Anolis sagrei: one gene and its partners. Each later gene encodes a partner of the first gene's protein in a complex. Links are inferred from orthologs where the notes say so. Each region holds a gene or a part of one and is shown in the gene's direction. Other genes may lie near its edges.

The links.
Region 2: EXOSC9 (region 1) and EXOSC4 share a complex: the UniProt entries of both Homo sapiens proteins name them as parts of the RNA exosome core complex. The link is inferred for Anolis sagrei from reciprocal best matches to the Homo sapiens genes EXOSC9 and EXOSC4.
Region 3: EXOSC9 (region 1) and EXOSC6 share a complex: the UniProt entries of both Homo sapiens proteins name them as parts of the RNA exosome core complex. The link is inferred for Anolis sagrei from reciprocal best matches to the Homo sapiens genes EXOSC9 and EXOSC6.
Region 4: EXOSC9 (region 1) and EXOSC3 share a complex: the UniProt entries of both Homo sapiens proteins name them as parts of the RNA exosome core complex. The link is inferred for Anolis sagrei from reciprocal best matches to the Homo sapiens genes EXOSC9 and EXOSC3.

The regions. Positions count from the first base shown.
Region 1 is NC_090025.1:36,466,870-36,474,843, forward strand, and holds the start of EXOSC9 (exosome complex component RRP45), read left to right. Parts: upstream 1-4,954; 5' UTR 4,955-5,031; coding exon 5,032-5,097; intron 5,098-6,604; coding exon 6,605-6,699; intron 6,700-7,442; coding exon 7,443-7,562; intron 7,563-7,666; coding exon 7,667-7,769; intron 7,770-7,974. UniProt on the Homo sapiens protein: Non-catalytic component of the RNA exosome complex which has 3'->5' exoribonuclease activity and participates in a multitude of cellular RNA processing and degradation events.
Region 2 is NC_090024.1:2,002,344-2,009,900, forward strand, and holds the start of EXOSC4 (exosome complex component RRP41), read left to right. Parts: upstream 1-4,537; 5' UTR 4,538-4,539; coding exon 4,540-4,713; intron 4,714-6,803; coding exon 6,804-7,010; intron 7,011-7,557. UniProt on the Homo sapiens protein: Non-catalytic component of the RNA exosome complex which has 3'->5' exoribonuclease activity and participates in a multitude of cellular RNA processing and degradation events.
Region 3 is NC_090028.1:43,418,877-43,426,067, reverse strand, and holds the start of EXOSC6 (exosome complex component MTR3), read left to right. Parts: upstream 1-4,256; 5' UTR 4,257-4,310; coding exon 4,311-5,171; 3' UTR 5,172-5,188; intron 5,189-7,191. Other genes in the region: AARS1 (alanine--tRNA ligase, cytoplasmic), read left to right, coding at 1-120. UniProt on the Homo sapiens protein: Non-catalytic component of the RNA exosome complex which has 3'->5' exoribonuclease activity and participates in a multitude of cellular RNA processing and degradation events.
Region 4 is NC_090023.1:155,253,690-155,260,897, forward strand, and holds the start of EXOSC3 (exosome complex component RRP40), read left to right. Parts: upstream 1-4,202; 5' UTR 4,203-4,246; coding exon 4,247-4,516; intron 4,517-7,208. UniProt on the Homo sapiens protein: Non-catalytic component of the RNA exosome complex which has 3'->5' exoribonuclease activity and participates in a multitude of cellular RNA processing and degradation events.

The DNA.
Region 1 (7,974 bases):
AAAAGTTAACGGGTACGTCATAAAAGCAATGAAGTTATCCCTTCAAAAGTCATCATTACAATGTAAAGCCATCACTCTTCATTGATTGGGTAAAGGCATTATAGATATAGTAATAATTGTAATCACAAATAAGTATCTTTTATTTCTCTTTCACAGAAATGCACATCTCTGAATTCTAGATAGAATAGACTATTGTTTTTATGTTCAATTATGTTCAATGGCTAACATGAGGCTACATGTTATTACAGTTTCTGTACAATGGTACATAAATCTTCTGTCTTTCCCCTCTGTACAGTATTCCAACATGGATTCCATTACAACAACCTTGCCTTGCTTAAATCACATACTGAACACATCCAGAGTACACCAGACTTATCCTGTATGTGGAGCGTGATTAATTCAAAATGCTATTTCATATAGTCTTTATTTATTTACTTTATTTGTATACCACTGTTCTCAGCCCTTAGGCGACACTTAGTCTTTACATTTGTACTCACAATGAAAACATAAACAACCCCTAACATGGGAGTAAGGACTCATCATGGATTAACAGACTGGTTCAGGATTGGGAAAGGTGTATGGCAGGGTTGTATATGCTCACCCAACCTATTCAATTTGTATACAGAACACATCATGCAATGTGCGGGGCTGGGGTTAAAATTGCTGGAAGAAACATTAACAACCTTAGATATGCAGATGATACTACTTTGATGGTCAAAAGCGAGGAGGAGATGAGGAACTTTCTAACTAAGGTGAGAGAAGGAAGTGCAAAAGCTGGGTTGCTGTTAAACATACCCCCCCCCCCCCCCCCAAGATTCTGGCAACCGGACTGATTGATAACTGGCAAATAGAGGGAGAAAACATGGAGGCAGTGACAAACTTTGTATTTCTAGGTGCAAATCAGAAGATGTTTACTTCTTGGGAGGAGAGCAATGACCAATCTCAATAAAATAGCGAAGAGTAAAGACATCACACTGGCAACGAAGATCTGCATAATTAAAGCAATGGTATTCCCCGTAGTAATCGACGAATGTGAGAGCTGGACCATAAGGATGGCTGAGGGAAGGAAGATAGATGCTTTTTAACTGTGGTGTTGGAGGAAAATTCTGAGAATGCCTTGGACCACAAGAAGATCAAACTAGTCCATATTTCAGGAAATAAAGCCTGACTGCTCATTGGAGGGAAGGATATTAGAAGCAAAGAAGTACTTTGGCCACATCATGAGAAGACAGGAAAGCTTAGAGAAGACAATGATGCTGGGGGGAAAGGAAGGAAAAAGGAAGAGGGGCTGACCAAGGGCAAGATGGATGGATGGTATCCTTGAAGTGACTGGCTTGACTCTGAAGGAGCTGGGGGTGGTGACGGCCGACAGGGAGCTCTGGCGTGGACTAGTCCATGAGGTCATGACGAGTTGGAAGCGACTGAACAAATAAACAACAACAAACATGGGAGTTAAAATGTTTAAAACAAAGCCATTATTTTGATTACTAGGTGTTCAAAAACATGTTGTTCTTTGTACAGAAATAAATCAATTATGGACATCTCACTACAAGATCAAAGGGCCCTTCCACACAGCCATAAATCCCAGTCATCAAGGCAGAAAATCCCACAGTATCTGCTTTGAACTGGGTTATCCGAGTCCACATGGCCATAAATTCCAGGTCAAAGCAGAAAATGTGGGATTTTATTCAGCTGTGTGGAAAGGGCCCACAACTCATTTAGGTGGCTGTTTCTTAATTGTCGTGAATTTCAACTTCCTTTATTGGTATTTTGGAAACTTGGCAACACTAAAATAGGCAACCCTATAAATGTTTTTGGACTGGGTTGCTGTAAGTTTTTCAGGTTGTATGGCCATGTTCCAGAAGCATTCTTTCCTGACATGTCGCCTGCATCTATGGCAAGCATTCTCAGAGATTGTGAGGTCTGCTCCTTCCTCAGTCTTTGCCAGCCAAACCAATGGGGAGGGATGATGGGAGCTGCAGCCTAAGAATATTTAGGTCACACTCTGATTTTGTCTATGGGATCTCTCTCAAGTAACACTGCCGAAAGACTATGTAGCTGTGCAGCTATGTATATATTAAATAAACAAGCGAGAAGAGTCAGCTTCATCCTTTCCATTCATAAGGTATATACAGTGAGTGATTATTGTGCAAAATGTAGCCTCTGAGATTTAGAGAGCAGACAGAAATTCATTAACATGTCAATCAGAGTTAAAGCACAATCCGTTTACGACTAAACACCGTGAGATGTTCTCTCTCTGATTTCCAAAGGGAACGGGATGCAATCATAGATGAATAGTAAACTTGGTGAGAAAGGCAACTCAACATCCTTGGATTACCATATTAAATAAATGTTTAAATGCCTCAAAAAGTGGACTTTGATGGGTTTAGTGCAGGCTTTTCAGAAAATGCAAACAGATTTGCCAAATGCAGCCCTAGAAGCTATTTGAATGATACAGACTTTTCTGAGAATGAAATAGTAAGGACTATTTAGAATCTTTTTTTTTTTGCCCCACCTTTTAATTTTATATCATATTTGCAAGTTACCTCCTTGCATTACAGTAATAAAAAGGACCACGCCTGCAGGGCCTCAGGCCTAAGCAAGAAGTGAAGGTACCATCACCAGGGGCTTTGAGGGAAGGGGCAGTGTTTGTTTCCCTTGCTGCCTTTGGCTCAGCTTCTCACTCAGCCTCTGGGGACCATTTGGTCCTACTGGACTCTGTCTTGACTGGCTTGCATTTCAGCATCCATGGGTCTGCACAGAGATACCGACATTTGTTTCTTCTAGCTGTAGCCCTTGATTCAGCTGGACCCCCTCTCAAGTGAACACTGCCACCCCGGTTTGGAGTCTCATTCCTCCCCTGATGGAACACCTGCTCCATTAAAACCATGTTTTAATCTGTCTTATTGCATTTATATGTTTTGTTTTATAATTTAATATGTTATATTTATTATTTGTTGTATAATGTGGCATTGAATTTTGCCATAATCTGTAAGCCGCTCCGAGTCCCCTTTGGGGCTGAGAAGAGCAGGGTATAAATATAGTAAATAAACAAGAAATGGACAGAAAAGGCAGTTCAATACATAGTAGCATTAGGTCGTAATTAATGTATTTACAAATTTAGCACCAGAACATTGCAATGTATTGAAGCAGCAGTGGATCCTGGCGGGAGGCAGACTGCGTTGTATAATACAGAACACTGGATGAGTGAAGGTTGGATAAGTGAGACTCTGTTGTATTATATTCTTAGCATTGCACAATATAAGTATTCAATATTACTATATTGTACTATACCACTATACTGCAATATTATTAGTAGCTTTACATGTAATATATCATTATTATATTATTATATTTACAATATTAGTATATCACAATATATTTAACACACTACCAGAATATTATACTACTAGTAGTATATAATATACAGGGTTAGTCAAAATGAATAGGCCAATAAGAAAATTAATTGTATGTATGTTTGGCCTATTCATTTTGACTAACCCTGTATTGTACTATATGATAAGTTGTAATAATAATAATAAACCTTTATTTATACCTGGCTAACATCTCCCGAAGGACTTGGTGCGGCTTACAAGAGGCCGAGGCCCAACACATTAATAAAACAACAGCATAACAAATACAACAATAAATAAACTCATAAAACAAGCAATAAACATTAAAACAATAGCAATAAACATTAGACAATAACACCATGACGCATTTAAAACTAAGGCCGGGCCAAATGTAATGATTAAAAATTTTAAAAAATGTTGGACATGGCAGGTGAAATGAATAGGTTTTTGGAGATTGGTGCGGTGTGCAGACTATCTTAAATGTCTAGTAAAGTGCATTTGGGACATTAGCTGTCCCCTGCCATGTGTTGCTGTGGCCCAGTCTGTCTGTATATGCTTTGTGTGTATATATATGTATATACACACATATATATATGTGTGTGTTTGCGTATATATATGTGGTTTTGCCCCCGGTGGCACAGTGGGTTAAAGCACTGAGCTGCTGAGCTTGTTGACTAAAAGGTTGCAGGTTCGATTCCGGGGAGCGGCGCGAGCTTCTGCTGTCAGCCCTAACTTCTGCCAACCTAGCAATTTGAAAACATGCAAATGTGAGTAGATCAATAGGTACCGCTCCGGCGGGAAGGTAACGGCGTTCGATGCAGTTGTGCCGGCCACATGACCTTGGAGGTGTCTATGGACAACGCTAGCTCTTCGGCTTAGAAATAGAGATGAGCACCACACCCCAGAGTCAGACATGACTGAGCTTAATGTCAGGAGAAAACTTTTACCTTTACCTATCTAATGTCAGGGGACAACCTTTACCTTAACCTATGTAGTTTTGCACATGCGTTGTAATGTTTTTCGGATGGTTTTTTTAGCTTTTTAAGTCCCTTCTGCTGTGTTTTTTATGAGTGATGGACACTTGTTGAACTGATAGGTGTATTGTGTCCAGATTTGGTGTCAATTTGTCCAGTGGTTTTTGAGTTACGTTAATCCTACAAACAAACATTACATAATATAATCAAACACATAGAAGCATAAAATTAGAAAGGATACAACAGGCCTGGGCAAACTTGGGCCTTCCAGGTGTTTTGGACTTCAATTCCCACCATTCCTAACAGCCTCAGGCCCCTTCCTGAGGCCAAGTTTGCACAGGCCTGGGGTGCAATATAGCAGCAGCAACACAAAGATGGCCTGTTCATTACATGTAGCAGTAATAAGTTTCAGTTTAGTAGTAATGATTGGCACCAAGCAATAGTTGACAGTGACAGTGATGCCAAAGTCTCTCTCCCTTGAATTCCAAGTTCACCAAAGATAGAACATAGGCAAGAATAGGAGAGATCCTTCCTCCTCCCCCTCCCCTCCCCGATGACGTAACGTTCCTTCCTATTGGCCGAGGAAGCTATGCTTTGGAAGCGACGCTTTTAAAGTGCGCCCGCTCTATGACGTCATCAGAGCGGAACCCGGAAAAGAGCAGCGCGGCCTCAAATCAAGGCGGCAGTAACACTCCGGCCTTGCGATGAAGGAAACGCCGTTGTCCAACTGCGAGAAGCGCTTCCTGCTGAAAGCCATCGAGGAGCGGAAGGTGCGTTAGCGAGAGAGAGAAGAAGAGATTGTAGTCATGGGTCTGATGGATCTGCACTGTAGAGTTAATGCGGTTTCATGCCACTTTGGCTCAATCCCGGGAGTTGTAGTTTGGTGAGACGACAGCACAATTGAGCAGACGAGGCTAAAGGGCTTGTAAAACGACGGCTCTCCGGATTAATGGCCTCAAACTGTGTTAATTCTGCAGTGTAGATGCATCTCCAGCCACATATTAGGAAACTGAAATGTCGAAGCAAGGTTTGAGGACAAAAGAGATCAACCTGATTCTGTACTTTTCAGGAGTCAGTATTAAAATCCACTCTCCAGCCCTGAATGCTAGAAGTCATTCCAGGGGAATTCCAGACAATAAACAATCAGGGCCGGCTAATCAACCTCCCAACAAAGGATTCCCCCCAGGCAGGAAGCAGCCAAGCCTTGAAGCTGCAAGGCTATTCAGTGCTAAGCAAGGTGATCAATTGCAGCATTCATACTTGCCTCAAACAGACAAGAGTTCTTTCTCCCGCCCTGGACATTCCACAGAGATATAAACTCTGGTTTTCAACAGACCCCTCAACCTCTGAGGATGTCTGCCATAGTTGTGGGTGAAATGTCAGGAGAGAATGCTTCTTGAACATGGGCATACAGCTTCCCTGACAACCAATTAATTTTGAACTCTGCATTTCAAGTTTGCATTCTATTGATATATTTAATTGTTATATTAATGTATTTTGGTAAATGTGTTTTGGCTGTTTTATACCCCCACCTTGAGTTGTGAGGAGAGATGGGCAACAAATGAATTATTATTATTATTATTATTATTGTTAACTTCACTGATGCGACACTCTGGTCTTCTTTATACTAAATATTATAGAATTTTGATACCTCTTTAGCTGCCATGGTGCCTTCCTGTGGAATCTTTCGGTTTGCATTTAGGGAAGGGTTCTTTGAATTCTCTGCTAGAGAGCTTTATTTACTTATTTATTTATTTACAGTATTTGTATACTGTTTTTCTTACCCCAAGGGGGACTCAAAGTGGTTTACTGTACCAAAGTACCCAAATTCTGTAGGATCCGTTTTTGGAAGTTAAAGTAGTATCAAAGTACACTAACTGTGTAGTGTGAAAGACACCCAGTGTGTCAGATTCATCTATAATCTTCTTTCCTGCTTTGTAGGATTTCAGTGTTATTAATTGCTGCTCTAGAGGGGAAAGTCAGCCCCTGAAGATGAGTTATGGAAATGCCGAAATAAGGAAAATAATTACCTCTGTACCATATAAGTGGATTTAGGCATGCAAACTCTTCACAGTTGGCAAACCTAGAGTTCAGGACTGTAAGAGTGGGTTTCACTGTGTACATATAATTTAGTGTTTTGAATGTGATTTTCCTGCTTCTTGGCCAGGGGTTGGACTGGATAGCCCATGAATTCTCATTCAATGCTATGATTCTAGTTGACTTTTTCCACAGTCCCATATTTCACATCTGTAATTTTAGCTTGTTTTGTCTTTACAGCGTCTTGATGGACGAGAGTGCTATGACTACAGAAATCTTCGCATCTCCTTTGGCTCTGACTATGGCTGCTGTATTGTGGAGCTTGGAAAAACGAGGTACCTCAGAATAGGGGATATGGCCATCACTTATTGATTGCTCCTACCTTGTTGCACATGTGGCTATCTGCCTTCAGTTGATGCCTTCGTTTGTCCTTAACTGAGACAAATGACCAAGTTACTGTCTTGATAACTACAATGTGGAAATGAAAAGTGTACATGAAAGGATTATGTGCAAAGGACCATAACTTACTAAGAGCACAAAATTTGCATGATGAAGTTTTCAGCATTTTTAGGTAACAAAACCTCTGCCTGGAACCTGGAGAATGCAGACAACACTGACGGACTTAGAACATCTGACTCAGGCCCCTTCCATATAGCTGAATAAAATCCCACATTGTCGAATATATGGCAGTGTGGTCTCAGATAATCCAGCTCAAAGCAGATATTGTGGGATTTTCTACCTTGATATTTTGGGTTATATGGCTGTGTAGAAGGGCCCTGTATTTATACTCCACCTTTCTTCCAGAGTAAGATCCAAAACAGCTTCCAAAAACAGTGTTAAAACACGTATCACAAAATGGTAAACATTCAGTGTTCCACATCTGCATTTTCTATTACTATACAGGGAATCATATGCATAATATCATTGTATGTCTTCTGGCAATTAATTGTATCAAGTTAATGTCAACTCTGAATAAGACAATGTGAATTTTAGAACGCCTTGTTATTTTAAACATGTAAGCAATCAGTTGAAATTTTACTCTTAAAGTTCGCCTATGTGGTGGCTTTTCTCTTTGTAGGATTCTTGGACAAGTGTCCTGTGAGCTTGTCACCCCAAAGCCAAATCGTGCGACGGAGGGCATACTTTTCTTTAATCTTGAACTCTCTCCTATGGCATCACCTGCATTTGAGCCTGGAAGGTATGTGACCCTACTTCTCCCTAGTAATAACATTCAGTGCTTCCTCAAGAAATGTTTTGTCTTTCTTAATTATTTGTAACTAAAGGTTTATTTTTTAATTCTAGACAGCCTGAGTTACTTGTAAAACTGAATCGACTGTTAGAAAGATGCCTAAGGAATTCGAAGTGTATAGATACTGAATCTCTCTGTGTTGTTGCTGGTGAAAAGGTGTGTAGTAGCATTAATTATAAAAATATATTTTAATAACTCTAAAAATTAAGTTATTTGACTTAACCATATTGCTTGTTTCCATTTGAATCCATGTGGAATTCGGAGACATATCTATCATCCCCTTTGATTAAATGGGTCTCTTTTTTCTTCCATCTTTGTATTTTTTATCGATAAAATAAAGATGGTTGAAAATAGAATAAAA
Region 2 (7,557 bases), on another chromosome or scaffold:
CAAAAGGAATCCTAAAAGGAAGGAAAAGGAGGAGAAAGGAGGAGAAGCTGGAGAAGGAAGGAAGGGAAGGGAAGGAAGCCTCGAAAGGAGAAGGAGAAGCTGGAGAAGGAAGGAAGGGAAGGAAGCCTCAAAAGGAATCCTAAAAGGAAGGAGAAAGAGGAGGAAGGAAGCCTCAAAAGGAAGCCCAAAAGGAAGGAGAAGGGCAAGGAGAAGGAGGAGAAGGAAGGGAGAGAGAAAGAGAGAAAGGAAGGAGGAGCTGGATCCCCCGCCCTCCAACCCCCAAGTGCCAAGTTCTAACTGAACGGCTGCCTGTGCGCGCGCTTGGCTTCAGGAGGAAAGGAAAAAGGAGGGGGGGACTTCACTTGGAAAGGGATTTCTCTTTGGGGAAATGGAGTTGGGGTCTGATTTTTGGGGGGATTAAAGGTCATCTCTTGGGCCACCTTTGGGCCAAATTTGGGCGGGGAAAGCCGTCGGGGAGGGCGACGGGGTTGGTGCGTAAAAGTCGCCTTTGGCGACTTTTACGCACCAACCCCGTCGCCCTCCCCGACGGCTTTCCCCGAAACGGATGGGACAACAAAGGCTTTCAAAGGGGTCTCTCGGCTCCCCTAACCATTGGGGAGAATGACCTCAAGGTGGGGGTCGCAATCAGCCCCCTCCCTTTGCAGAAACGCCTTCCATTTGAGGCACCAAACATTTTACGCACCAACATTTTACGCACCAAGTTTTGTGCGCTTTTCCCAAACTTTGCGCCCTTAGAATTTGGGATAATTTGGGGTCAATCATAAGGGGGTGTCTTTTTTGCACCCCTAACTTTTTGGGGAAAGTGGGTGGACCCCCTCCCCCCCAAATTAAGACCACTACTTTGCATGCCAACCTTTGCATTTGGCGCAAAATCATTTGCGACTTTTTACGCACGAATAACTAGCCTTTCTCCCCAATTGGAGGAGCAAAAAAGGGGGTGATAACGGGGGTCTCCTGGCACCCCTAACTTATGGGAAAGTGGGGGGGGGGGATAGGTTGGCCCCCTGTCGTTGCTTAGGCGCCATTGCGGGTGTTTTGGAGTGGGCTTGGCTGCTCTCCTTGCCTTTCATTGGAGGAGACGTGTTGACACACAAGCTCTTGCCTCCTCCTCTTGCTTTTGAAGATGAGAGGTGACTTAGGACTCTATCACTTCCAGAATTCTGGGGTTTGTAGTTTAGTGAGACTGTTAAAGTTCAATGTATTGTCGAAGGCTTTCATGGCTGGAATCACTAGGTTCTTGTGGGTTTTTTCGGGCTATAGAGCCATGTTCTAGAGGCATTTCTCCTGACGTTTCGCCTGCATCTATGGCAAGCATCCTCAGAGGTAGTGAGGTCTGTTGGAATTAGGACAATGGGTTTATATATCTGTGGAATGGCTGGGGTGGGGCAAAGAGCTCTTCTCTGCTGGAGCTAGGTGTGAATGTTTCAACTGACCACCTTCATTAGCATTTGAAGGCCTGGCTGAGCCTGGGGGAATCTTTCGTTGAGAGGTGTTAACATGTGCCTGGTTGTTTCCTCTCTGCTGTTTTGCTGTTGTAATTTTAGAGTTTTTTTTAATACTGGTAGCCAGATTTTGTTCATTTTCATGGTCTCCTCCTTTCCGTTGAAATTGTCCACATGCTTCTTGTGGATTTCAGTGGCTTCTCTGTGTAGTCTGACATGGTGGTTGTTGGAGTGGTCCAGCATTTCTGTGTTCTCACATAATATGCTGTGTCCAGGCTGGTTCATCAGGGGCTCTGTTTAAGTTGTTGTTCATTCTTTCAGTCATTTCTGACTCTTCATAGGGCTTGCTCTTCAGACCCTTGATCATTTTAGGGAGAGTAAAATGATCGAGGGTCTGGAGAACAAGCCCTACGAGGAGCGGCTTAAGGAGCTGGGCATGTTTAGCCTGAAGAAGAGAAGGCTGAGAGGGGATATGATAGCCATCTATAAATATGTGAGAGGAAGCCACAGGGAGGAGGGAGCAAGCTTCCTTTCTGCTTCCCTGGAGACTAGGACGCAAGGGAACACTGGCTTCAAACTACAAGAGAGGAGATTCCACCTGAACATGAGGAAGAACTTCCTGACTGTGAGAGCCGTTCAGCCGTGGAACTCTCTGCCCCGGAGTGTGGTGGAGGCTCCTTCGTTGGAAGCTTTTAAACAGAGGCTGGATGGCCATCTGTCAGGAGTGATTTGAATGCAGGCATGTAGCCGGGGGGGGGGGGGAGGGCTTGGGGGGCTTGGACCCCTCCCGAAATTCTCATGGTGGTTCACGAAAAGGCCTTCCTGGTGCATTATTTAAACTGTTATGTTTATTCATATCATGATCTGATCACCCTACGCAATATATCCCATATGCATGGGGGTATTGGGGTAACAATACAAAAGGTTTGCTAGGGTAGACCTGCTTTCACTCAGACTCAGCCCCCCCCCCCCCCCCGAAACAAACTCAGCCCCCCCCCCCCCCGAATCGAAATCCTGGTTACGGGCCTGTTTGAATGATGCATCCCGTTTAGATTACTGCAACGCTCTCTACGTGGGGTTGCCTCTGAAGACTGCCCAGAAGCTTCTATTAGTCCAATGTGCGGCAATCAGACTACTAATGGGAGCGGGGTACAGGGAGCATACTACTCCTCTGTTGCGCCAGCTCCACTGGCTGCCAGTCAGCTTCCGAGCACAATTCAAAGTGCTGGTCTTAACCTATAAAGCCCTAAACGACTCCGGCCCAATTTACCTGTCCGAACAGGTAACAGGTATCCTTCCCTATGAACCATCAAGATTGCTAAGATTGTCTGGAGGGGCCCTGCTCTCAATCCCACCGGCCTCACAGGCGCGGCTGGTGGGGACGAGAGACAGGGCCTTCTCGGTGGTGGCCCCTCGACTCTGGAACTCAGAAGAGATCAGAACTGCCCCTTCGATCTTAACGTTCAGGAAACAGGTGAAAACCTGGCTTTGGGGATTGGCATTCGACGAATGAGCCATGACCCTGTGATATGGATGGATGACGACGAATAATGATTTTTGATGACGACTGACCACTGTAATCACATGACTGTATTTTTGCTATTTTAATGTTTTAGTGTGATTTAGAATATGATGTTGTAATGACTGTCTGTAATATTGATGTTGGAAAGCGGTCTGGGTCCCTCGAACGGAGGTGAGAAGACCAATATACAGAACTGCTCAATAAATAATTAAAATAATAAGAATAATTCAGAAGTTGTAATGTTTACAAAGAAGGAAACATCGCTATGGCGCCCCCTCTCGCTACAGGCGCGCCACTGCAGGCCTTGGCTCCTCCCCTTCCTCCTCATTGGCTGTCTTTATGTCCCCGCCCCTTTGCTTCCCCCGCCATTCCTCGTCTCCCTCTCGCTAGAAGCTCCTCCTCCTTATTGGCTCAGTCGCAGAAAAGGGGCGTGGTTATCGTTGCGACCCCGCCCCCTTAATGCTCCTTCCATTTAGGCGCCTCTCTGTGCTCTCTGCTTCAAGCCCCTCCCCTTCTTCCCTATTGGATGGGGAGCAGGGAAGGGGCGTGGTTATCGTTCCGGCCCCGCCCCTTGCTGCTCTCTCCATTCAGGCGCCTTTCTGTGCTCTCTGCTTCAGGCCCCTCCCCTTCTTCCCTATTGGATGGGGAGCAGGGAAGGGGCGTGGTTATCGTTGCGACCCCGCCCCTTGCTGCTCTCTCCATTTGGGCGCCTTTCTGTGCTCTCTGCTTCAGGCCCCTCCCCTTCTTCCCTATTGGATGGGGAGCAGGGAAGGGGCGTGGTTATCCTTAAGTCCCCGCCCCCTAGCTTCACCCGCCAGAGAGGTGCCTTCTCTCTGCTCTCGCTTCAGGCCCCTCCCCTTCTTCCCTATTGGATGGGGAGCAGGAAAGGGGCGTGGTTATCGTTCCGGCCCCGCCCCCTTGCTGCTCCATCCATTCAGGCCCCTCCTCTTCTTCCCTATTGGCCGGGGAGGAGGGAAAAGGGGGCGTGGTTATCCTTCAGGCCCCGCCTCCTTGCTGCTCCCTCGCCATTCAGACGCCTCTCTCTGCTCTAGCTTCAGGCCCCTCCCCTTCCTCCCTATTGGATGGGGAGCAGGGAAGGGGCGTGGTTATCCTTAAGTCCCCGCCCCCTTGCCGCCCCATCCATTCAGGCCCCTCCTCTTCTTCCCTATTGGCTGGGGAGCAGGGAAAGGGGCGTGGTTATCCTTAAGTCCCCGCCCCCTTGCTGATCCCGCCATTCAGGCACTTCTCTCTGCTCTCGCTTCAGGCCCCTCCCCTTCTTCCCTATTGGATGGGGAGCAGGGAAGGGGCGTGGTTATCCTTAAGTCCCCGCCCCCTTGCCGCCCCATCCATTCAGGCCCCTCCTCTTCTTCCCTACTGGCTGGGGAGCAGGGAAAGGGGCGTGGTTATATTTAAGTCCCCGCCCCCTTGCTGATCCCGCCATTCAGGCCCTTCTCTCTGCTCTCTCTTCAGGCCCCTCCCCTTCTTCCCTATTGGTTGTGGAGCAGGGGGTGGGCGTGGCTACCCTTCCTGGTTCCCGCCTTTCTCTTTCCTTGCATGATGGCGGGCCTGGAGCTGCTCTCTGCGCAGGGCTTCCGCGTGGACGGGCGCCGGGCCGGGGAGCTGCGGCAGGTGCGGGCCCGCATGGGGGTCTTCGCCCAGGCAGACGGGTCCGCCTACCTCGAGCAGGGGAACACCAAGGCCCTCGCCGTCGTCTACGGGCCCCACGAGGTAGGAAGGCAGGGGGTGGGTTCCTAGATCTAATCACCTCTCCACAAAAGATTCCCCCAGGCACAGCCAGGCCATCAAATGCTGAGAGGGCTTAGATGGGTTTATAGATCTAATCACCTCTCCACAAAAGATTTCCCCAGGCACAGCCAGGCCATCAAATGCTGAGAGGGCTTAGATGGGTTTATATATCTAATCACCTCTCCACAAAAGATTCCCCCAGGCACAGCCAGGCCATCAAATGCTGAGAGGGCTTAGATGGGTTTATAGATCTAATCACCTCTCCACAAAAGATTTCCCCAGGCACAGCCAGGCCATCAAATGCTGAGAGGGCTTAGATGGGTTTATATATCTAATCACCTCTCCACAAAAGATTTCCCCAGGCACAGCCAGGCCATCAAATGCTGAGAGGGCTTAGATGGGTTTATAGATCTAATCACCTCTCCACAAAAGATTTCCCCAGGCACAGCCAGGCCATCAAATGCTGAGAGGGCTTAGATGGGTTTATATATCTAATCACCTCTCCACAAAAGATTTCCCCAGGCACAGCCAGGCCATCAAATGCTGAGAGGGCTTAGATGGGTTTATAGATCTAATCACCTCTCCACAAAAGATTTCCCCAGGCACAGCCAGGCCATCAAATGCTGAGAGGGCTTAGATGGGTTTATAGATCTAATCACCTCTCCACAAAAGATTTCCCCAGGCACAGCCAGGCCATCAAATGCTGAGAGGGCTTAGATGGGTTTATAGATCTAATCACCTCTCCACAAAAGATTCCCCCAGGCACAGCCAGGCCATCAAATGCTGAGAGGGCTTAGATGGGTTTATAGATCTAATCACCTCTCCACAAAAGATTTCCCCAGGCACAGCCAGGCCATCAAATGCTGAGAGGGCTTAGATGGGTTTATATATCTAATCACCTCTCCACAAAAGATTCCCCCAGGCACAGCCAGGCCATCAAATGCTGAGAGGGCTTAGATGGGTTTATAGATCTAATCACCTCTCCACAAAAGATTCCCCCAGGCACAGCCAGGCCATCAAATGCTGAGAGGGCTTAGATGGGTTTATATATCTAATCACCTCTCCACAAAAGATTCCCCCAGGCACAGCCAGGCCATCAAATGCTGAGAGGGCTTAGATGGGTTTATAGATCTAATCACCTCTCCACAAAAGATTCCCCCAGGCACAGCCAGGCCATCAAATGCTGAGAGGGCTTAGATGGGTTTATATATCTAATCACCTCTCCACAAAAGATTTCCCCGGGCACAGCCAGGTCATCAAATGCTAATCGAGGTGGTCAGTTGAAACGTTCACACCTAGCTCCAGCAGACAAGAGTCCTTTGTCCCACCCTGGTCATTATTCCACAGATGTATAAACCCTAGCTCCAGCAGACAAGAGTCCTTTGTCCCACCCCAGTCATTCTACAGATATATAAACCCTTTTTCCTCGTTCCAACAGACCTCACTACCTCTGAGGATGCTTGCCATAGATGCAGGCGAAACATCAGGAGAGAATGCCTCTAGAACATGGCCATATAGCCCAAAGAAACCTACAACAACCCAGTGATTCCAGCCATGAAAGCCTTCGACAATGACATCTAATCACCTCTCAACAAAAGATTCCCCCAGGCACAGCCAGGCCATCATATGCTGAGAGGGCTTAGATGGGTTTATATATCTAATCACCTCTCAACAAAGGATTCCCCCAGGCACTCCGAGGCCATTATATGCCAATCAAGGTGGTCAGTTGAAACATTCACACCTAGCTCCAGCAGACAAGAGTCCTTTGTCCCACCCTGCTCATTATTCCACATATATATAAACCCTTTTTCCTAGTTCCAACAGACCTCACTACCTCTGAGGATGCTTGCCATAGATGCAGGCGAAATGTCAGGAGAGAATGCCACTAGACCATGGCCTCTGTGCCTGTTCAAAAGATTCCACATCACTTTCAGTTCCTGTGAGAATGGGATTTTGAAACATTTAGTTTATTGTGGAAACAAGGGTGGGAGGTATTTCCTGGGTGAGGAGGGCAGGCTAGATGACCCCCAGAGGCCCCTGGACTACCCCCGTCTCCTTCCTCTTTCCTGCAGACGCGGGGCTCGCGGTCCAAGGCGCTGCACGACCAGGCGGTGGTCAACTGCCAGTTCAGCCTGGCCACCTTCAGCACCGGAGAGCGCAAGCGGCGGCCCCACGGTGACCGGCAGACCTCCGAGATGAGCCTCCACCTCAAGCAGACCTTCGAGGCCGCCATCCTCACCCAGCTCTACCCTCGCTCCCAGATCGACATCTACGTCCAGGTGGGTGACCGGTAGGTTTCCATGCACCCCCTTGGAAACAGTCATCTAGGAGTCTTTGCAGACCCCAAGCAGAACGTGAGCCAAGAGAGTGATGCGGCAGCTCAAAAGGCCAATGCCATTCTAGGCTGCATCAGGAAGAGTTTAAAAATGAAATAGGTATAGAATGGGTGACCCCTGAAGGGACCCCAAAGGCCATCCAGTCCAACCCCTTTCTGCCAGAAAGGAAGACACCATTGGAATATGAAAACAGTATCTAAGAGTCTCAGGAGAAGACAAGCTGAACTTTTTTCTTCTCTTTTGTCATTTACACAATCAAATAAAATTATATTTTTAAAAATCAGTGGAATTCTGTGTTGGAGGCTTTTAAACAGAAGCTGGATGGCCACCTTTCTGGGAGGCTCTGATTGTGCTTTTCCTGCATGGCAGGAGGGGGTTGGAATGCATGGCTTTTGCAGTCTCTTCCAACTCTATCATTATGATTATTTTACCATTTTTCTCCTTCGCATTTGGCCCAGCTCGCCCCTATTTAATTCTTCTATCACTTTAT
Region 3 (7,191 bases), on another chromosome or scaffold:
AAGGGGGGCGGGAAGGACCTCTCGGCTCAGGCGACCGGGAAGAACACTGACTGCCTGAAGGAGGTCCTGGAGGTGGCCACGGACTTTGCCAAGCTGAAACTGGGCGAGCTGAAGAACTGACCCCCCCCCCCCTTCAGGGAAGAGATCCAGGCAAGGAAGCCCTTGTCTGCTCCGCCAGTAGGTTAACAGCTTAGTGATAACTGGAAACAACGTTACGTGCATTGTTGTCCTTCTCAGCTCATCCGCTCAGGCACTAACCAAGCCAGGCGGCCGTGCCAGGAAATGCCCTGAGCACAGAACGTGGGAGCCTGTGGCGGCACAAGTTCGAATCGAAATGTGGTAAAAATCTCCTTGCACATACAAGTCACATACTTCCTGACGCTCTAAACTTGAATGTCTTTGTACAGTTTGCAATAAGACATGGCCCACGAATTCTCTGTCCGTGCTCAAGCGCTTGGGGCGTTTTGCATGCGCGGGGCCAAGGCTCAACACTTCGGTCATTTCATCCCTTATCTCTGTAACTGTGAAAGCCCCTCCTTCATTCATAGTATTAACCTCTGTTGTAGCCAAGCCCAAGCCAGGCGTGTTCTGGCACGAGGAGCTGTGCTTCACCAGGTTCCATGCTGAATAAACAGATGTCTATTTAAGTGAGTGTCTTGCTGTAGAAACAAAAGCAATGGGCACATGGGCACATTACATATAACCATGCTGCAGTGTGATATGCTCAAGCCTACAACCCACAAAAACCTACAACAACCCAGTGATTCCGGCCATGAAAGCCTTCTCAACAAAAGTTTGCCCCAGCCACAGTCATTTCCTTTCCTTTCTGCACAGCCAAGAAGAGTAGTTTGCATGTGTTGCTATTTTTAATTGCAACTTGATGTGTCAACAATGGCACGTTGTGCTTAAGAATGGCTTCTCACAACCTCTGAGGATGCTTGCCATAGATGCAGGCGAAACATCAGGAGAGAATGCCTCTAGAACAGTGTTTCTCAACCTGGGGGTCGGGACCCCCATGGGGGTCATGAGGGGTCGCCAAAGACCATGAGAAAACATAGTATTTTCTGTTGGTCATGGGGGTTCTGTGGAAAGTTTGGTCCAATTCTATTGGTGGGGTTCAGAATGCTATTTTATTGCGGGTGAACTATAAATCACAACAATTACAACTCCTATTTTCTCCAAACTCCAGCAGTATTCACATTTGGGCATATTGAGTATTTGTGCCAAGTTTGATCCAGATCCATCATTGCTTGAGTCCACAGTGTTCTCCGGATGTAGGTGAACTACAACTCCAAAAAACTCAAGGTCAATGTCCACCAGACCTTCCCAGTATTTTCTCTTGGTCATGGGAATTCTGTGTGCCCAGTTTGATTCAATTCCATCACTGGTGGAGTTCAGAAGGCTCTTTGATTTTAGGTGAACTATAAATCCCAGCAACTCCACCATTACCAAATGACAAAATCAATCACCCCCCAACCCCACCAATATTCAAATTTGGGGATATCAGGTATTTGTGCCAAATTTGGTTCAGTGACTGAAAATACATCCTGCATATCAGATATTTAGATTACCATTCATAACAGTAGCAAAATTACAGTTGTGAAGTAGCAACGAAAATATTATGGTTGGGGGTCACCAGAACATGAGGACCTGTATTAAGGGGTCGCGGCATTAGGAAGGTTGAGAACCACTGCTCTAGAACATATAATAATAATAACACTTTATTTATACCCCGCTACCATCTCCCCAGGGGACTCGGTGCGGCTTACATGAGGCCGAGCCCAAAATACAACAATACAAGCAATAACAACAACAATACAAGCAGTTTAAAACAGCAAAACAATAACATAAGCATTATCAAATAGGACAACACACTTTAAAAACTATGGCTGGGCCAAATGTGCCCAGGGGGAGTCTCTCATTGGGTATCAGCCATTGGTTGAGGTTCTGGGTTTGAGCCTGCCACTTTTGGACTCTCGCTTGCTGAGGTGTTCCAGCGAGTGTCTCTGTAGATCTTAGAAAACTATTTCGTAATTTAAGGCGTTGACGTGCTGGCTGATACCCAAACAGGGGATGAGCTGGAGATGTCACTTCCTTGGTCCTTTCACTATTGGCTGCCACTTCCCGGCGGATGTCAGGTGGTGCAATACCGGCTAAGCAGTGTAATTTCTCCAGTGGTGAGGGGCGCAGATACCCCATGATAATGTGACATGTCTCATTAAGAGCCACATCCACTGTTTTAGTATGGTGAGATGTGTTCCACACTGGACATGCATACTCAGCAGCAGAGGAGCACAGCGCAAGGCAGATGTCTTCAGTGATCTAATTTTGCTGGGGAGTGAATTCCACAGGCGGGGGCCACTACTGATAAGGCTCTGTCCCTCGTCCCCACCAGCTTTGTTTGTGACGTTGGTGGGACCGAGAGCAGGGCCTCTTAAACTATCAGGGTTTGAGCCTGCCACTTTTGGGGTCTCGTTTGCTGAGGTGTTCCAGCGAGTGTCTCTATAGATATTAGAAAACTATTTCTTGCTTTAAGTCGTTGGCATGCTGGCTGATACTCAAACGGGGTGAGCTGGAGATGTCACTGCCTTGGTCATTTCACTATTGGTTGCTGCCACTCCTTGAACTCACTCTCTCTCCTAGTGTCTAGATCCAGGGAAGTCATGCTCCCCATGCTCTATTCCGCTTTGGTTAGACCACTTTACCTGGAATATTGTGTCCAATTCTGGGCACCACAATTCAAGAGAGATATTGACAAGCTGGAATGTGTCCAGAGGAGGGCGACTAAAATGATCAAGGGTCTGGAGAACAAGCCCTATGAGGAGCGGCTTAGGGAACTGGGCATGTTTAGCCTGAAGAAGAGAAGGCTGAGAGGGGATATGATAGCCATGTATAAGGAAGCCACAGGGAGGAGGAGGGAGCAAGCTTGTTTTCTGCTTCCCTGGAGACTAGGACACGAAACAATGGCTTCAAACTCCAAGAGAGGAGATTCCATCTGAACATGAGGAAGAACTTTCTGACTGTGAGAGCCGTTCAGCAGTGGAACTCACTGCCCCGGAGTGTGGTGGAGGCTCCTTCCTTGGAAGCTTTTAAACAGAGGCTGGATGGCCATCTGTCGGGGGTGCTTAAATGCATTTTTCCTGCTTCTTGGCAGAATGGGGTTGGACTGGATGATGATGGCCCAGGAGGTCTCTTCCAATTCTAGGATTCTATGAATTGTATGTCTATTCTCAATGGCAGGTGTGGGCAAACTTGGGCCCTCCAGGTGTTTTGGACTTCAACTCCCACAATTCCTAACAGCCTACCGGCTGTTAGGAATTGTGGGAGTTGAAGTCCAAAACACCTGGAGTCCAAGTTTGCCCATGCTTGCTCAATGGGTTTCTTCTGACAAGAGATCAATAAAGAGGAGCAGCCTGCTCCTCCTCCTCCAGGCCAGCAGGGGGCAAGAGAGAGAGAGCGCTCAGAGGAGAGAGTGCTCCTCTGAGTAGCGTGCTCCTCCTCCAGGCCAGCAGGGGGCGCGAGAGAGAGAGGGAGCGAGGGCGCAGGCGCAGCTTCCTTTTCCGCTTCCCCTTGTGAGAATGGGTTTCTTCTGACCAGAGATCAATAAAGAGGAACAGCCTGCTCCTCCTCCTCCAGGCCAGCAGGGGGCGCGAGACAGAGAGAGAGGGAGCCTGGGCGCAGGCGCAGTGGGAGCCGCTTCCTCTTCCGCTTCCCCGAGAGAGCGCTCAGAGGAGAGAGAGTGCTCCTCTGAGCAGCCTGCTCCTCCTCCTCCTGGCCAGCAGGGGGCGAGAGAGAGAGAGAGAGGGCGCAGGAGCAGTGTGCGCCGCTTCCTGTTCCGCTTCCCCTTGTGAGAATGAGCTTCTTCTGACCAGAGATCAATAAAGAGGAGCAGCCTGCTTCTTCTCCTCCAGGCCAGCAGGGGGCGCGAGATAGAGAGAGAGCGCTCAGAGGAGAGAGTGCTCCTCTGAGCAGCCTGCTCCTTCTCCTCCAGGCCAGCAGGGGGCGAGAGAGAGAGAGAGGGCGCAGTGGGCGCCGCTTCCTCTTCCGCTTCCCCTTGTGAGAATGGGTTTCTTCTGAGCAGAGATCAATAGAGGAACAGCCTGCTTCTCCTCCTCCAGGCCAGCAGGGGGCGAGAGAGAGAGAGAGCGCGCTCAGAGGAGAGTGGTCCTTTGAGCAGCCTGCTCCTCCTCCTCCAGGCCAGCAGGGGGCGCGAGACAGAGAGAGAGAGGGAGCGATTACGCAGGCGCAGTGGGCGCCGCTTCTCCTTCCGCTTCCTGTTGTGAGGCTGCGACGGTGAGGGGAGTGTTGCCATGCCGCTGGACCACCGCCGCGTGCCGGGCCCGGAGGAGTCTCAGTCCTCGCTGCTCTTCGTGGCCGAGGGGGCGGAGGAGGCGGAGAAGAAGCCTGAAAAGCCGGGGCGGGACCCTTCCGCGCTGCAGGCGGTGTTCGCGCGGGCGGCGGTGCTGAGCCAGGCCAAGGGCTCGGCCTTCGTGGAGCTGTCTGGCGGGACGAAGGTGCTGTGCGGCGTGTACGGGCCCCGAGAGGCCCCCGCAGGAGGAGGAGGAGCGGGGAGCGAGTCGGGGGGCCGGCTGGTGTGCGAGTTCCGGCGCGCGCCCTTCTCTTCCCGCGGGCCCCGTCGTCGGTGGTCATCGGAGCGCGACCCGTGCCTGGCGCAGGCGCTGACGGAGTCCCTCTCGGCCGCCGCCCGCCTCTCCCGCTACCCGCGCGCCCAGCTGGAGGTCAGCGCGCTGGTGCTGCAGGACGGGGGCTCCGTGCTGGCCGCCGCCCTCTGCGCCTCCGGGCTCGCCCTGGCCCACGCCGGCGTCGAGCTCTTCGACCTGCCCGCCGCCTGCGCCCTCGCCCTCGCCCCCGGAACAGCAGGGGGAGAGTGGCTGCTCCAGCCCGACGAGGCCGAGACCCGCCGCGCCCGCGCCCACCTCACCGTGGCCCTCCTGCCCTCCCTCAACCAAGTGGCCGGCCTCCTGGGCAGCGGGGAAGGCGGCCCCCCGGACAGCTGGGCACGGGCCCTGCGCCTCGGACTCGACGGATGCCACCGCCTCTACCCGCTCCTCAGGAAGAGCCTCCTCCGCGCCCTCACGCCCAAGGGGGACCCCCCGCCCCCCCACAAGACCCCAGAGGAAGAGGAAGGGGCGCCCCACCCCATCACATGAGACCCAGCCCCACTCAGGTATGGACAGCCTCAGGCCCTGCCCACTTAGTCTGGAATTAATATATAATCTGGGACTAGGGACTGCGGGGAAGGGGCCTGAGATACTCTGGCATCCAACTGCCAGCATTCTGCCTCTACATCAGGTTTGGGTAAACTTTGGCCTTCCTTCCAGGTGTTTTGGACTCCAACTCCCACCATCCCTAACAGCCTCAGGCCCATTCTGCCTCTAGATCAGGTTTAGGCCAACTCTGGCCCTCCCTCTGGGTGTTTTGGACTCCAACTCCCACCATCCCCAACAGCCTCAGGCCCATTCTGCCTCTAGATCAGGTTTAGGCCAACTCTGGCCCTCCCTCTGGGTGTTTTGGACTCCAACTCCCACCATCCCCAACAGCCTCAGGCCCATTCTGCCTCTAGATCAGGTTTAGGCCAACTCTGGCCCTCCCTCTGGGTGTTTTGGACTCCAACTCCCACCATCCCCAACAGCCTCAGGCCCATTCTGCCTCTACATCAGGTTTAGGCCAACTCTGGCCCTCCCTCTGGGTGTTTTGGACTCCAACTCCCACCATCCCCAACAGCCTCAGGCCCATTCTGCCTCTAGATCAGGTTTAGGCCAACTCTGGCCCTCCCTCTGGGTGTTTTGGACTCCAACTCCCACCATCCCCAACAGCCTCAGGCCCATTCTGCCTCTAGATCAGGTTTAGGCCAACTCTGGCCCTCCCTCTGGGTGTTTTGGACTCCAACTCCCACCATCCTCAACAGCCTCAGGCCCATTCTGCCTCTAGATCAGATTTGGGTAAACTTAGGCCTTCCTTCCAGGTGTTTTGGACTCCAACTCCCACCATCCCCAACAGCCTCAGGCCCATTCTGCCTCTACATCAGGTTTAGGCCAACTCTGGCCCTCCCTCTGGGTGTTTTGGACTCCAACTCCCACCATCCCCAACAGCCTCAGGCCCATTCTGCCTCTACATCAGGTTTAGGCCAACTCTGGCCCTCCCTCTGGGTGTTTTGGACTCCAACTCCCACCATCCCCAACAGCCTCAGGCCCATTCTGCCTCTACATCAGGTTTAGGCCAACTCTGGCCCTCCCTCTGGGTGTTTTGGACTCCAACTCCCACCATCCCCAACAGCCTCAGGCCCATTCTGCCTCTACATCAGGTTTAGGCCAACTCTGGCCCTCCCTCTGGGTGTTTTGGACTCCAACTCCCACCATCCCCAACAGCCTCAGGCCCATTCTGCCTCTAGATCAGGTTTAGGCCAACTCTGGCCCTCCCTCTGGGTGTTTTGGACTCCAACTCCCACCATCCCCAACAGCCTCAGGCCCATTCTGCCTCTACATCAGGTTTGGGTAAACTTAGGCCTTCCTTCCAGGTGTTTTGGACTCCAACTCCCACCATCCCCAACAGCCTCAGGCCCATTCTGCCTCTAGATCAGGTTTAGGCCAACTCTGGCCCTCCCTCTGGGTGTTTTGGACTCCAACTCCCACCATCCCCAACAGCCTCAGGCCCATTCTGCCTCTAGATCAGGTTTAGGCCAACTCTGGCCCTCCCTCTGGGTGTTTTGGACTCCAACTCCCACCATCCCCAACAGCCTCAGGCCCATTCTGCCTCTAGATCAGATTTGGGTAAACTTAGGCCTTCCTTCCAGGTGTTTTGGACTCCAACTCCCACCATCCCCAACAGCCTCAGGCCCATTCTGCCTCTACATCAGGTTTAGGCCAACTCTGGCCCTCCCTCTGGGTGTTTTGGACTCCAACTCCCACCATCCCCAACAGCCTCAGGCCCATTCTGCCTCTACATCAGGTTTAGGCCAACTCTGGCCCTCCCTCTGGGTGTTTTGGACTCCAACTCCCACCATCCCCAACAGCCTCAGGCCCATTCTGCCTCTACATCAGGTTTAGGCCAACTCTGGCCCTCCCTCTGGGTGTTTTGGACTCCAACTCCCACCATCCCCAACAGCCTCAGGCCCATTCTGCCTCTAGATCAGGTTTAGGCCAACTCTGGCCCTCCCTCTGGGTGTTTTGG
Region 4 (7,208 bases), on another chromosome or scaffold:
CCTTTTTCTTCCTCTGAGGCCGAGATAATATGACTTTCCCAAAATCACCTAGTTGGCTTCTGTGGCTGAGGAAGGATTGACATTGTAGTCCCCCAGTGTCATAGTTCAGCACTCAAACCATCAAACAAGCAGAGGCTTTATCAACTTAGGGGAAATTATAACTTACACAAAACTCTTGTCGATTGAGTTTTTTGTGTGTTTCTACTGTCAGCCAGATGGTGTCACCACTGCTTAATAAGCCAAGAGCAAAATACTCTTGCCCTTTGCTTATCTCATTCCAGCTAAATGAAAACAGTGTAAGTTAAACATTCGTGTTTACAAAAAACTGTAAAAATGTTTGACAGGAAATAGTTTATGTACATTGTAAAAATGAGCCATCTACACATGGCAGTTGTATGTATTACATATGCTGAAATGCCCAATTTCTACTAATGGCAATAAAGGTGTTACTTCAATAATGGGATGATGTGTAGGTCGATCAACTTTCTTGGAAGAAGAGGTTCTCTCATCTGCAAAAGCAGGAGAGAAAAGGAAAAGATACCAAGGCTGTCCAGTTGGTGGGATGAAAGCTTGGTCAGACACTTTTAGAGAGCCACTGACAGTCAAGTAGAGCGCATCAAGATGGGCTAGTAGTAGAATGCGCCGTTGTATCAACTTCTCTGATTTTGGCTACCAGGTTCACTGTCAAACATCTTTTAAAATAGTGAGCAGGTATGTACTTTGGCACAAAACAGTATGAACCAAACTGTTCTAGTTCCCAAGACAAATATAAAAAGATTTATCGTGACTTTCCAAATACGTGTTAACTAGTTCTATGCCTTTGCCAGATAGAGAAAAACAAGCAAAATTGCCTTGGTTGATGTTCCATACCAAAAAGGAAGACAGTATAGGAAGAGATTCAGCAACCAATTGGGGAAACCTGACACTTCATGTCTTTTTGTTCTATTTCACACATTCATTGTGAGATGCTGAGGAGAAATTCTATATGAGAAGTCACACAAGAATGTGTTCAATCAACTTTTATATTTGGGCTTAGTAAATAAAACACTGTGATGTTTTATACAAAGCTTATGTTTCCCATATTTGCCCCTGACATCCCCGTTGCCTCGGCACTATAAGAGGGTTGTGTGAGGCCAGTCACTCTTGTTGCAATGGTGTATTAACGGTGATGCCATGGATCATATTTTTGTTCTTTGGAACCACTGGTGGTCCATGGACCACTGATGTAGTTAAGATTGTGCTGGAGGACTTAGACAGATTCACAAACACTTCTGAGGGGTTGAGATTGTGGGCACTGAATCCGTCGATAAGAGGAATCACACTGTACAGACAATCCCTGAATTACATGCATTCAACTTACAAATAACTCAGTTATAAATAGTTAAGGCTGGGAGTGAGACAACAGGTAGTGAGAGAAATCAACCTCTTGGAAGAAAACATCACTCCTGGAACAGTGATCATAGAGTAAAGGTGTCTCCACTGAGGCTTTCTCACCAATCTTTGTGTCCACAACAAGCCAATTTTTGTTCAAAATCCAATTATCAGAGACAGAGAGGCGACATCTCCTGAACAGGCAGCAAAACAAACATCATAGGGGTTAGGCCAAAAAGGACTAAGCAATGTTTTTATACTGTCTAAAGAAAAGGGAGTTTCTAGGATCTTAGCACAACTAAGATATCCTCAGTGGCCGGAGGTTTAGGGAATTTTAATGGTATATGTTAGTATACTTGGGAAGTCTGATCTGGCCACAGTGTTCCATGCTCTGGTTATATCCCAAGTAGATTACTGCAACACACTCTATGTAGGATTGCCTTTGAAGACTGTTCGGAAACTCCAGCTAGTCCATTACTCACCGGAGCGTCATACAGGGAGCATACCACCACCACCCCGCCCTGCTGTGTCAGCTCCATTGGCCACCAGTCCATTTCCGAGCACAATTCAAAGTGCTGGTCTTGGCCTATTAAGCCCTATACAGTTCCGGCCCAGCTTACTTGTCGGAATGTATCTCCCTCTACATTCCACCTCATAGTTTGAGATCATTTGGGAAGGCCCTGCTCTCAGCCCCGTCAGCTTTGCAAAAGCGTTTGGCAGGGACAAGGGACAGGGCCTTCTTGGTGGTGACCCATCATCTGTGGAACTCGCTCCCCAGTGAGATAAGGTCGGCCTCGTCTCTCCTTTCTTTTATTAGGAAGAAACTGAAATCATATTTCTGGCACCAGGTCTTTGGATAGGCATGATAACACTTTGGATGTAGAACTGGATTGGAAGTGGCTATGTGGTTCAATAATAACATTTTAAATTGTTTTAACTTACGCTTTTTATTGTTTTTAAATTGTTGCTATATTTGTTGTATCTCTCTGCATGTCATGGCATTGAATTGTTGCCAGTGTTGCTAGCGTAAGCCACTCTGAGCACCCCCTTGGGGGTTGAGAAGGGCAGGGTAGAAATGTTGGAAATAAAATAAATAAATAAATGTTGTAAATTATTAATTTGTTTTATATGGGTTATGAAATGTGCGATTTGTTTATTTAGTTTATGTTTCTGTTGAATTTTTTGTTTGTAATTTTTTATTGGTTTTTAACACTGTACGTTGCTTTGAATCCCACCCACGGGAGAAAAGTGGGATAAAAGCATTTGCAAATATTGAGTAATGGACATAGGAAAACGGAACAACTATACGATGTAATTGGACAATGTTTTTATTGAGGATTTACTGATTTACTTTTGTATTGTTGTTGTTATGATTTTATTGACGTTAATGTCTTAAATTGTATTTGTACTCTGTGGCATTGCCTTGTCACCGCAAGGCTGAGAGGGGCGGTATACAAATAAAGTAAATAAATAAATAAATGGAGGCCCCCGGTGGCACAGTGGGTTAAAGCACTGAGCTGCTGAGCTTGTTGTTCGAAAGGTCGCAGGTTCAATTCCGGGGAGCGGCGTGAGCTTCCGCTGTCAACCCTAGCTTCTGCCAACCTAGCAGTTCGAAAACATGCAAATGTGAGTAGATCAATAGGTACCGCTCCGGCGGGAAGGTAACGGCGCTCCATGCAGGCATGCCGGCCACATGACCTTGGAGGTGCCTATGGACAACGCTGGCTCTTTGGCTTAGAAATGGAGATGAGCACCACACCCCAGAGTCAGACATGACTGGACTTAATGTCAGGGGACTACCTTTACCTTTACCTAAATAAATAAATATAAATAGCACAGTTGATCCAACTCAAAACTGGAGTGATTTTTTAAAACCATAGTTGCAGACTTCCACAAACATTTAAAATGAAATATTTCGTGAATAACAAACCTAGTATTGTCGAAGGCTTTCATGGCTGGAATCACTAGGTTCTTGTAGGTTTTTTCGGGCTATAGGGCCATGTTCTAGAGGCATTTCTCTATGTAGTCTGACAACACAGAAATGAGAACACAGAAATGCTGGACCACTCCAACAACCACCATGTCAGACTACACAGAGAAGCCATTGAAATCCACAAGCATGTGGACAATTTCAACAGAAAGGAGACCATGAAAATGAACAAAATCTGGCTACCAGTATTAAAAAAAACTCTAAAATTACAACAACAAAACAGCAGAGAGGAAACAACCAGGCACATCTTAACACCTCTCAACAGAACATTTCCCCAGGCTCAGCCAGGCCTTCAAATGCTAATGAAGGTGGTCAGCTGAAACATTCACACCTAGCTTCAGCAGAGAGCTCTTTGCCCCACCCCAGCCATTCCACAGATATATAAACCCATTGTCCTATTTCCAACAGACCTCACTACCTCTGAGGATGCTTGCCATAGATGCAGGCGAAACGTCAGGAGAAATGCCTCTAGAACATGGCCCTATAGCCCGAAAAAACCTACAAGAACCTAACAAACCTAGTGTTCCAGAAACTGGCCTTCCAGGTTGGGACTTCAGTTCCCATAATCCCTGATCATTGGCCAAGGCAGCTGAGGCTTCTAGGAATTGAAGTCCAAAACACCTGGAGGTGCAGAGTTTGGGAATCTGCTGTGTATTCAGATTACAAGGCAAGAGAGTCTCGGAAAAGGGACGCCTGGTACTCCTTGTCAAAAGGCCTGGCTGCAGCCAACGACAAACGGAGGCCTCCAACTGCCAGCATTCCAAACTTTTGTCCGTCGCTCTTTGTGAACGTCGCCAGTTCCAAGGAGACCAGTGGAGACAGAGGGTTCTGAGCTACGCATGCGCAAACGGATCCCGCGAGACCTCAACGGCCGCTCGCGCAGTCATGGCGGACGTCGGCGCCTGCGAGGCCCAGGAGCGGGTCGGGCGAGTAGTGCTGCCGGGGGAGGCGCTGCTCCTGCCGGGCCACGCAGAGGCGGACAGCGAGCGGCTACGCCTGTCGGCCAACGGGCCTCAGAAGGGGAAGCTGGTGTGCGGGCCGGGCCTGAGGCGCGGTGGAGAAGGCCTGCTGGTTACGAAATGCGGCCTACTACGCTACCGCGGCCCCGGAAGTGGCTCTGGAGGCGTTTATTGGGTAGACTCTCAGCAGAGGCGGGTAAGGAAGCGCGAGGGCCAGACTGCGCATGCGCGCTTGAGCACTTCTTATATGTACCCTATGGGAGTGGAGCGCTGTCTAAGAGTTGCTCAAGTAAACTGACAGAAGGATTTTGTTTATATATAACGTTATACCAAGTGCTGTAGGTTATATAGTTTGCAAACAAATTAATCATATGTGGCCTAAGCAATGCTACAATGAGGTGGATCTATAATTGGTACTAAATAATAATAAGGCAGGGAGTTTCAGAAAAACATCTATTTCTGTTTTATTGACTATTCTAAAGCCTTTGACTGTGTGAATCATACTAAATTGTGGCGAGTTCCTGGTGGTATGGGGATGCCAAGCCACCCTGTCTCTCTCCTGAGGAATCTGTATAAGGACAAAGTCGCAGCAGTAAGAACTGACCATGGAACAACAGACTGGTTCAAGATTGGGAAAGGCGTATGACAGGGTTGTATACTCTCCCCCAACCTATTCAACTTGTATGCAGAACACATCATGTGATGTGTGGGGCTTGAGGAGTACAAGGCTGGGGTGAAAATTGCTGGAAGAAACATTAACAACCTTAGATATGCAGATGACACCACTTTGATGGCCAAAAGCGAGGAGGAGCTGAGGAGTCTTCTAATCAAGGTGAAAGAAGAAAGCACAAAAGCTGAGTTGCAGCTAAACATCAAAAAAACCAATATTATAGCAACAAGAATGATTGACAACTGGGAAATAGAGGGAGAAAACATGAAGGCAGTGACAAACTTCGTATTTCTAGGTGCAAAGATGATTCCCTGGTTGCAGACGCAGACTGCAGCCAGGGAATCAGGAGACGCTTACTTCTTGGGAGGAGAGCAATGACAAACTCTGGTGCTGGAGGAAAGTTCTGAGAGTGCCTTGGACAGTGAGAAGATCCAACCAGTCCATACTTCAAGAAATAAAGCCTGACTGCTCATTGGAGGGAAAGATAGTAGAGGCCAAGATGAAGTACTTTGGCCACATCATGTGAAGAAAGGAAAGCTTTGGCCACATCATGTGAAGAAAGGAAAGTCAATTATGCTGGGGAAAATGGAAGGAAAAGGGAAGAGGGGCCAATCAAGGGCAAGATGGATGGATGGTATCCTTGAAGTGACTGGATTGACCTTGAAGCAGCTGGGGTGGTGACGGCCGACAAGGAGCTCTGGCATGGGCTGGTTTATGAAGTCACGAAGTGTCGGAAACAACTGAATGAACAAAATAATAATTATTATAATAAAACTTTATTTATACCCCGCCACCATCTTCCCAAGGGGACTCGGGACAGCTTACATGAGGCCAAGCCCGACAATACATCACATCAGTATAAACCAACACAGCAATAAAATAAAACAAAAAATACAATACAATACAAAACCATTATAAATAACATATCAGCAATAAAACAACATTTAAAAACACAAGGATCCAACACTGGACAGGGCCAATTCAACTAGATTAAAAATTTTAAACACTGGATGTGACAACAGTGAAATTAGTCTGAACAGGTGTTTTAGAGGGTAGGGTAGGGGTGATTGCCCCAACAGGTAGAATAAAGTGCTACAGAGGATATTTTGCAGAGAATTGGTCAGATCAGGGAATTATTCATCTTTCATTCAGGGAAGGCACATTGGAACAAGCAAGTTTTCAAGCTCCTAAAGACTGCCAATGGGGGAGGGGTTCCTAATATCTTTGGGGAGTGAGTTCCAGAGTCAAGGGGCCACTACAGAAAAGTCCCTCTCTTTCAACCCCACAAGTTGCACCTGTGAAGATGGCTCACCAATGGTTCCTCTTCATCCTGGAAAGAAGTGACTAGTGGGGTGCCACAGGGTTCTGTCCGGGGCCCAGTACTGTTCAATATTTTTATTAATGACTTGGATGAAAGTTTAGAGGGCATGCTTATCAAATTTGCGGATGAAACCAAATTAGAAGAGATAGCTAATGCTCCAGTGACAGGATCAGAATCCAAAATGATTCAACAGATTAGAGCGCAGATTGGCCAAAACTAACAAAAAGAATTTTGACAAGAACAAATGTAAGATACTACATTTAAGCAGAAATCCACAGATGACAGGATGGGGGATGCCTGGCTTGACAACAGTCCATGTGAGAATGATCTTGGAGTCTTCATGGACAACCAGTTGAACATGAGCCAGCAGTGTGGTGAAACAGCTACAAAAACCAATGGGATTTTGGACTGCATCAAAAAGGTGTATAGTGTCTAGATCAAGGGAAGCCTTTGTGTTCTGCTATGGTCAGCCCTCACCTGGAATACTGTTCAAAAGAGATAATGACAAACTGGAAGGTGTCCAGAGGAGGACATCTAAAATGATCAAAATTCTGGAGACCAGGCCTATAAGGAGCGTCTTAAAGTACTGAGCATGTTTTGCTTACAGAAGAGAAGGTTGAGAGGAGACATGATCACTATGTATAAATATATGAAAGGATGCCATAAGGAAGAGGGAGCAGGCATGTTTTCTGCTGCCCTGGAAACTAGGATTCAGAATAAAGGGTTCAATTACAGGAATGGAGATCCCACCTGAACATTAGGAAGAATTTACAACCCTGCCCTTACAAGCTGTTCAGCAGTGGAACTCTCTGCCTTGGATTGTGGTGGAAGCTCCTTCCTTGAAAGCTTTTAAACAGGCTGGGTGACCATCTGTCAGGGATACTTTGGTTGTAGTTT